Yarrowia lipolytica: one gene and its partner. The protein of the gene in region 2 interacts with the protein of the main gene of each other region in a pairwise test. Links are inferred from orthologs where the notes say so. Each region holds a gene or a part of one and is shown on either strand. Other genes may lie near its edges.

Region 1 (4,670 bases), on a different chromosome or scaffold from region 2:
GCGATGTGCAGTCACGTGGGACGGGGACTGGTTTGGGAGCAAGTCGCGGTGGTGTGGGTCGCACAATGTTATATAAGTGGGGCGCGCATGTCGAAAAACCGCTTCCGTTATAGCTACGACGATAATGTGGCTCTCTATACTGGCAGTGTGGTGCACCCATCTGTCCATGGCGTATCTCCGAACCGTGCGTCTCTCCCAACAGTTCGCTTTAACTATAGTATGTGCATGTACGATATCTGTCAGCGGGAAAAGTTACTCCATGGACCCAAAGGGAAAGTTACTCCAGCTCGTTGGGAGCGAGGATGTAAAGGGCAGTTTAGTGCGGACTGGAGAACAGTTCTGCATGCGGATGACTCGGAATGATTCGGGGTGTCAAGTGCGGCCATGTACTGTACGTACGATATTCACAGGTGTCGGCATAGGCTTGGTTTTGGGTGGTGTTGGATGATTAACCAAGAATCAAGTCTTGTTAGGAGTCGGTTGGACATGGCTTAGAGTAACACAAGGGCACTATACATGGAGGGATAATGGAGGACAAGAGATATATATGAAGATGGCGATGAGATATAACGAGTACTCAGACAGTTCTGGATAGAAGTTGGTTGAATGAAGACCTTGTGACAGTATGTATGAGATCCGAAGATCCAAGGCCATGGTCACCTGAATCATAATTTTTTCGACATCAAGATATCACCAATGTTGACCCAAGGACGTCATTAGTCATTGGACTATTTTCGGCCTGTGGAGATAGTCACCTGTAGGTACAGTACAGTACATACTATACGACGTACGGTATGTACAGTATGAAACCGTGCACGCGCTACAATTTCTCGTCAAGTACGACTATCGTAAGTATGTACTCCTCAAGTTGAACCTCCGAATACACTTCGACCGCGACTGAAGCCGCCATGGTACGATAGGATGTCTGGGTAATGATCAAGAAAGCGAAATGACATCATACTCCAGGGTCAGCTCAGCAAGCCCGATTTGGGCTGTTCTGACTTCCCCTGATTTACATATCTTCAGTAAATATTACTTAAATGTTGTCCGCTATCGACCCACTCGTATCATGCATGTCCCATACGGCACTGGAGATATCGACGGTGTAGAAGCGGCCAATGCACCGGTATTTGTACAATACACAGTACATCTAGTGACATCATGTATCGAGGCAAAGGACAGTCCCACGACGAAGGTGGTCATGTGAGTCTAACCATCCACAAATCGGTTTTTTTTGTTCATTTTATTCACGCCTCAGTTTGTCGACATCTCACTCACTCCACCAATAGTAGAACATTACCCCATATCGCAATCTAAAGTGTTCACTCCTAATGGTATGCAGCGCACTCATATAGTGTCTCGTGACAGCGATAGATGGGAGTACCCAAGTAGGCGTACACATACATTTTTAGACGGGAAAGGCGGTTAAAAATATACACCATGTCCCACTACCACAAAAAACGATCTTTACTGTTGTCTAAATCACCTACAACAGTCTCAACTCACCAGTCCTCAAGTCTCCTCTAAACCACCTCTCAAACTCAAAGTCACACCTCCACCACTACATCACCGCACATCACACCAGTCACCCCATACTTGCACCTCACATCTCTGACATGAACGGAAGTGTGACATCGGTGCAATCGGTGCATTCGCCACAACGCCGGATGGAAGAGGATGAGACGGTCAAGTCCACCGCTTCCAAAACCTATGTGCGCCATGGATTTGACGACGACTACGCCAGTGACGCCTACATGTCCATGTTGGCCGAAATCTTTTACATCTACCTGGACGACAAACGCCACGACACTGCGGGCAATCCGAAACGGTCTTCTGCCGACGGCCCGCCCGAATGGCGCATGAAAGACCGACAGAGAACAGTGTCTGCAGCCATTGTGGTGTGTCTCAACCTGGGAGTGGATCCTCCAGATGTGATCAAAACCGACCCCTGCTCGCGACTGGAGGCCTGGGTGGACCCACAGACCATCTCAGACTCCAAGAAGGCCACGGAGCAGATTGGAAAACAGCTACAGATGCAGTACGAGGTGCTGTCAATGCGAACCCGGTATAAGCAGTCGCTGGACCCCAATGTGGAGGACATTAAACGATTCTGCATAGGACTGCGACGAGGTGCTAAGGAGGAGCGAATTCTGTTTCATTACAATGGCCACGGAGTGCCTCGACCTACAGCTTCGGGCGAAATCTGGGTCTTCAACAGAGGCTACACACAATACATTCCTGTGTCTTTGTACGACCTGCAGTCGTGGCTGGGCTCGCCATGCATCTACGTGTGGGATTGCCATAGTGCCGGCAACATTGTCTCTAACTTCAAGCGCTTTGTTCAGCAGCGTATCAAGGAGGACGCTGATGCACAAGCACCCAATGGTGTGACCAGTGCAGCTTCAGGAAACGGAAATGCCTACCTCGATTGCATCCAGCTTGCAGCCTGCCGGGCCGACGAGACTCTGCCCATGCACCCAGACCTTCCGGCAGATCTGTTCACGTCATGCCTGACGTCCCCAATTGAAATTGCTGTGCGATGGTTCGTCATGAAGTCTCCCTTGGCTTACGGGAAGAAGATCAAGGATCTGCAAATCCCAGGAAGAATTACCGACCGAAGAACCCCCCTTGGCGAACTTAATTGGATTTTCACTGCCATAACCGATACGATAGCCTGGACTTTGTTGCCTCGCGACCTGTTCAAAAAGCTGTTTCGACAGGACCTGATGGTCGCAGCGTTGTTCCGAAACTTTCTGCTGGCAGACAGAATTATGCGGGTCAACTCATGCCACCCAGTCTCGGACCCTCCTCTTCCTCCCACCCATTCTCACCCTATGTGGGATGCGTGGGATCTAGCAGTCGATCAGTGTCTGACTCAGTTGCCTGCTTTGGCTGCTGGACAGGAGTATCGCCACTCGCAGTTCTTTGAGGAACAACTGACAGCCTTTGAGGTGTGGCTGCGATACAATGCTCGAAGTGATAACCCACCTGTTCAGCTTCCTGTTGTTTTACAAGTGCTGTTGTCACAGGTCCACCGACTACGAGCGCTGATCTTGCTCTCCAAGTTCCTCGATCTTGGACCCTGGGCTGTCTACTCGGCGCTCTCTATCGGTATCTTCCCCTACGTGTTAAAGCTGTTGCAGTCCCCCGCTAAGGAGCTAAAACCCGTGCTTGTTTTCATCTGGGCTCGAATAATGAGCGTGGACCATCAATCCATTCAGCACGAGCTGCTCAAGGACAATGGCTACGCCTACTTCATCCAAATTCTTCTCCCCTTTGAAGGATTTGCCGTTAACAACGTGAACGTCCATGACCACAGAGCCATGTGTTCTTTCATCATCGCACTATTCTGCCATGGTTTCAAGCAGGGTCAGCGGGTCTCAATGGGTGCTGATCTTCTCCGGGTGCTCGTGGTTTACGCAGCTGAGCCTGACTCTCCACTGCTTCGACAGTGGTCCTGTTTATGCATCTCCCAACTGTGGTTCGACTACCTAGAGGGCAAGTGGCTTGGAATGAAGGAGAGAGTGCCCCAGAGCCTCATTGTGCTGCTTGAGGATCCTGTTCCTGAGGTCCGAACAGCGTGTACTGTTGCCTTGACTGCATTCCTTGGCAATGGAGACGCTGATCACATTTCCCAGGATTTCAAGGACGTGGAATGCGAGCTTGCTAACGCTGTCCTCAAGCTGACTGACGACGCCAGTGGTATTGTTCGAAGAGAAGCAGTCGTATTCTTTTCGCGTTTCGTCGTCCAGTACCAAGGTCAGATTCTGGTTGCTGCGTTTGCTACTCTCGAGCAAGAAGCTGCTGCTGTCTCCCAGATGAACCTCAACACCTCGTCCAATCCTGCCACCGGTACCGTGTTTGCTGCCGTGTGGGAGGCCGTTCTGACATTTGCAGAGGACCCGTTCACCGAGGTGCGTGACTTTGCACGTGACGTGGTTGATCACGTCTTGTTTGAGATGGGCCAGTCGCCTCTGGGACCTCGAATGGAGCAGCTCAAGCGAACCATGCTGCAGGGAGCCGAGTCCAAGAAACAGCTGCCTAGCGTTTCCAACCTGATTCCTTCGTCAGAGTCACATCATCATGCTGCTGGTAGTCCTGCTCCCCAATCTCCTGCGATGGCTCCTCTAACGCCTACTGCATCTTCCACCATTCAAAATGCCATTGCTGCCGACAGGGCAGCTTCTTCTCCTCTCAACTCGCTCAAGAGGTCTGTCTCGAAGTATCTATTTGGAGACAATGAGCCCAGTGGAACAGCAGCCCAGAAAACGGACTCATCTGTTACAACTGTTCCTTTTGGCACGGGAACCATCCCCGTGACACCTCGTTACACATCGCGAGCTGCAGGATCACGTGCTCAACTCCCTCTGAAGTCCGGGTTTTTTGCTTGGTCCACGGAGTTCTTCCAAGAGCCTCAAATGGTGCCTGCGGAGGCCGACTGTACTGGTTCACAGCGGTACACTGAGAGACTGTGGCGAAAGACCCGCAACGAGAGAATTATCTCCGAGTCGGTGCTTCAGCGAGACGAAGCTGTCAAGGGCAAGTGGGATCACTCTCTAGGTGTTCTCAGCAACAAGACGCAGCCTCAGAAACTCGTTTTTGCGCAGTTTGAGCCACATCTGGCAGTAGCTGACGACCGAGACGGTGTTTCTATCTGGAACTGGGCCGAA
Region 2 (4,078 bases):
TGTGTACTACTTGGTATGACTGTCTTTCACTCCCCGGTCTTAGCTGCCTGTGTGATACAGAAGGTACCTAGCTTGAACTGGTGTATCTACCAACATGTGGAGAGGGAGCTAGAGTGCAAGCATTTATTACTTCCATTACTTTTGATGTACAGTACTATCAGAGGCATTTCAAACCGTCTGGAGAGCAGTCTACATAGGAACAGCCCAGTGAGAAGCCCTCCCATTCTGGCTTGTGGTTGGTCAGATAAATGTGCCATGAATGTACCAGGAAACTTCAATTGACTGTCGAACGAGTCTAAACACTTTTGGAATGTACGTTTACATGCATTCTGGGCATCCGAGGGTGAAGGACACCGACCGATCGCTCCGCGCGCGTTTTTGGTGGCTCTCTCTCCGCGACATCTTCTCTAAGATAGAGAGGGACAATCTCCTGACACAGCAACGTCCTCAAACGACTCCATTGGCACTATGATGGCATTGTTGGGTTCTTCTTGGTAGTCTTGAATGCTTAACGTGTTTCTCCTTTTGTTAACAGTTCAAGGAACACATCCTCGCGAGTCAGAAGACTCCCCTCCCTCGAGACTTGATATTTTTAAAGTTCAGCTTTGAGATGGCTTCTGAAACACCCGTGAGGATACGTAGACAATGTATCCTCCCTTCAACTCCCCCGATAGTCCAGATATTGAGATTCTGAAAAAAGAAATCGGCTTCTGCTCTGGTTACTAGTATATATATTTCTCTACTCTCATCACAAAGTGTCTACTGGGTGCTGCAACTGTCCCCTCCCCCCCAATCACCACCAAAACTGTATCCCATTTAAGGGTGCAGATTGGGACAATTAATGGGTTCGAAACTGGTCACATCATTGACAAAATTTTGTCAAAACGTTCAAGCTTAAGAGACGACTCAAGATCCCTTCTATGTCGCGATGTAGTCGAGATATTTGGATTTTGAAACCGACCCCGAGATCGCTGTATCGTCCTCTGCCATCTTCTGCTTTCTCAGTAGCTCTAGCTCCATTTTGCGCCCCATTAGTTGCACTCCAACGGCATTGGATTAGTAAGCGATGAATGGCGGTTGGTATTAGTCAGCAGTAAACTCTGTAGGACTGCAGCGTTACAACTAGAGAGTGCATTTTCGTGGGTTTTCTGGATATCTGGAGTCACGTGATGATGCACGGTCACGTGGATTCCGTCTCATGTGCACCGAGACACCTCTCTATGGATTTTCTTCAAAGTGCCAAAGAAGACATGTACATTCAACTTTGGATGTATATAGTAGTAGTGCATAGGAGATAGCGTAGTATGTGACGGTACAGGTCGTAGAATCCACAAAAGAAGCGTGCGAAAGCCGAAAAATGACCGTCTGGAACACCTCCAGACCACAACTTGGACATTGGACGCCTTAAAAACATGTTCTCTGGCCATGCCTCGTCTCCACTCGTAATCTGTAGATCCCTGCATACTCTCACAGCCTGAGCAGTATGGTACAGCGGTAACAGAGGTTCAAATAACATGAGGATTGCTCTTTGACTCAATCAGCTCACAAATTCCAGAAGCCACCCACAGAGTCAAGCTCCCTGCCAGAATCACACACCTGGACCTCCACTATCGCGCATCCTGTCTAACAGGCCTCCACCTAGGGCAACTCAATTACCCTGTCGTCGGACTCGATCTGATCCGGGCCAGCTCGACGAAAAACTCGTCTATATAAACATTGTCGCGCTCCGCTGTCGCCATCCGAGTCCCACAATCGCTGCCCAGAGTCCCCCAAACACCAGATTCCACACTCCACCACTTTGCCCACCGGGTAACAGTCTCAAACTTACACTTGTCAAAACACAGACGACTCAAAACCCATCCGCCAACACAATTTAAGCCCCGCAAACATGTCACAGTTCATTGGCAAGACCATCTCGCTCATCTCCAACAGCGACATCCGGTACCTCGGCGTTCTCCATGAGATCAACTCCGAGGAGTCGACCGTGTCGCTGATGAAGGTGCGCACCTTTGGTACCGAGGGGCGAACTGGAGGGGCCAACGAGATTCCTGCCAGCGACGCGGTCTACGACTATGTGGTTTTTCGCGGCAGCGACGTGAAGGATTTGAAGATTGCTGTGAGTACACCGAGAGCGAGCGGAGATGATCATGTGCTGATATCTACAGTGACAGCGCCATGACGAGTGACACCACACCAATGGTGGACCCTCACATGTCACGTGTGCTGTACCGTCGACACGCCACTCACCCTTTCAACCACAATGATGAAGCATTAGGATGTAAATTATTTCACCCGAGAGCGCAAAAAACCGTGCGGATATTTCCTGCCTTCCTTCTGATTTTGTGTCTGCCGATACGTTCGGTCTTGTTGAACCCTTCTAACCCAGGACGAATCCGAACTCGAGCCCCAGCAGGCCCCCAAGGAGGAGGCCGAGCAGGTGACACAGAACGAGTCGCCTGCAGCTGCACCAGTGCAGGTCCAGCCTCCCGCTCAGCCGCAGCAGCAATCCCAGCCTCAGGCACAGCCTCAGGTACAGGAGCAGGCCCCTCGAAAGGCACGACCTGAGCCTCGCCAGGAGCCCCGAGAGGCGCGAGAGTCCCGGGAGCAGCGACAGCGAGAGCCTCGAGAACCCCGGGAGCCCCGGGAGCCTCGAGAAACTCCGGCGCAACCCTTTGACTTCTCCTCCAACCAGATTGAGGAGTTCAAGAAGGAAATGACCGAGGACGAGCAGACAGAAAAGTTCTACAACAAAAAGTCGTCCTTCTTCGACAACATTTCGCACTCGACCCGAGAGCAGCAGCGAGACCCCGAGCAGAACCGGGTCAACCGAGAGCTCAACTTGGAGACGTTTGGCCAGACTGATTCGGGGTTTCGACACAACAACTTCCGAGGGGGGCGAGGTGGACGAGGCGGTGGTCGAGGAGGACGAGGTCGAGGAGGTAGAGGTGGCCGAGGCGGCCGAGGAGGTGATGGCATGAGCAACCGGGACAGGGAGACTTTTGGTAGTTTTACCGGTCCTGCTCCGCGGTGGAACTAGACCATAGACGTGCGTATCAGCGTAGCGAGTCGGTCGTCTGTTGGTCGATGTGAGTGTGTTACAAGTACTTGCATCACTTAGTAGTGCATGCACTCGTATCTAGTTCCCGTCCCCTGTATATTTATAGTAATTTATTCATCTCAGACCGAGCAGTGAACCCTGCGATGTCTGAGCATAATGAACTCATGATATGAATGGACAAGAATACGATATCGTGTGGTCAGCAAGATATCAGTACATACCCCAATTCGGTATACAAGTTCTGTTATGCTGTGGGTATTGTAGCTCCTAGAATCAAAAATACATACTCAATACCATGGGAGAAAGAGACAGCTGACGGCAAAGGGGAGTTGACAAATCGATTATCGATACGATTACGAATATATTGTATATTTCGGGGTTCTCATAGCATGGCCACACAGGTTTCTAAGGGTGTAGATGTAGCCTAGATGTTTTACAAGGTGGTGCATATCGCCAACCAGGACATAGGAACGAAGACGGACAAAAAATCATGTAGTGAGCTCGACGAGATGGTATCTGTGTTATTTGAGAACTGGGGAATCTGGATCAGCTCTCTACAGAGTCTCAACTGCTCGAGATCATCTTTCGTGCGCACTTGACAGGGAGGTAGGTGGACTTTTCTGAAGAGGTCTGAATGGCATCTGGAGTTGATTTGTGGAACTAATGTCTCTTGAAAACGTGTTAGTAGATCTAAGTGGGTCAATTTGATGTATTTTTTCAAGTCACCAGATTGATACATTGGAAATACGGATGTACTGTTGTAGAATTTCTTGAAGACTTCTCATGCTCTGGACTGATAGCCTCTTCAAGTTTTGACCGTCCAGAAACCAGTGGGTCACGAACAGAAAGCAAAGAATCCGGCAATTACGGACAGCAGAGCTGTTCTTCCTGTTCACAAAGTCCAATAATGATTTCCAGATCTCCACCAGTAGTGATGGCAAACGAAAGTTCAGCAGCATTATACGATGCGATGGCTTGAAACGATGTTATGGCTTGGTACTCTACAGAAGTCCCCTTTCA

The links. The genes of interacting proteins can lie anywhere in the genome.
Region 1: the proteins of YALI1_D17151g (region 2) and YALI1_E08271g interact in a two-hybrid assay, tested with the Saccharomyces cerevisiae proteins (2 studies listed by BioGRID, with this or other methods). The link is inferred for Yarrowia lipolytica from reciprocal best matches to the Saccharomyces cerevisiae genes SCD6 and KOG1.

The regions. Positions count from the first base shown.
Region 1 is NC_090774.1:825,549-830,218, forward strand, and holds the start of YALI1_E08271g (uncharacterized protein), read left to right. Parts: upstream 1-1,616; coding exon 1,617-4,670. UniProt on the Saccharomyces cerevisiae protein: Component of TORC1, which regulates multiple cellular processes to control cell growth in response to environmental signals. Nutrient limitation and environmental stress signals cause inactivation of TORC1.
Region 2 is NC_090773.1:1,713,431-1,717,508, reverse strand, and holds YALI1_D17151g (uncharacterized protein), read left to right. Parts: upstream 1-1,888; coding exon 1,889-2,116; intron 2,117-2,386; coding exon 2,387-3,037; downstream 3,038-4,078.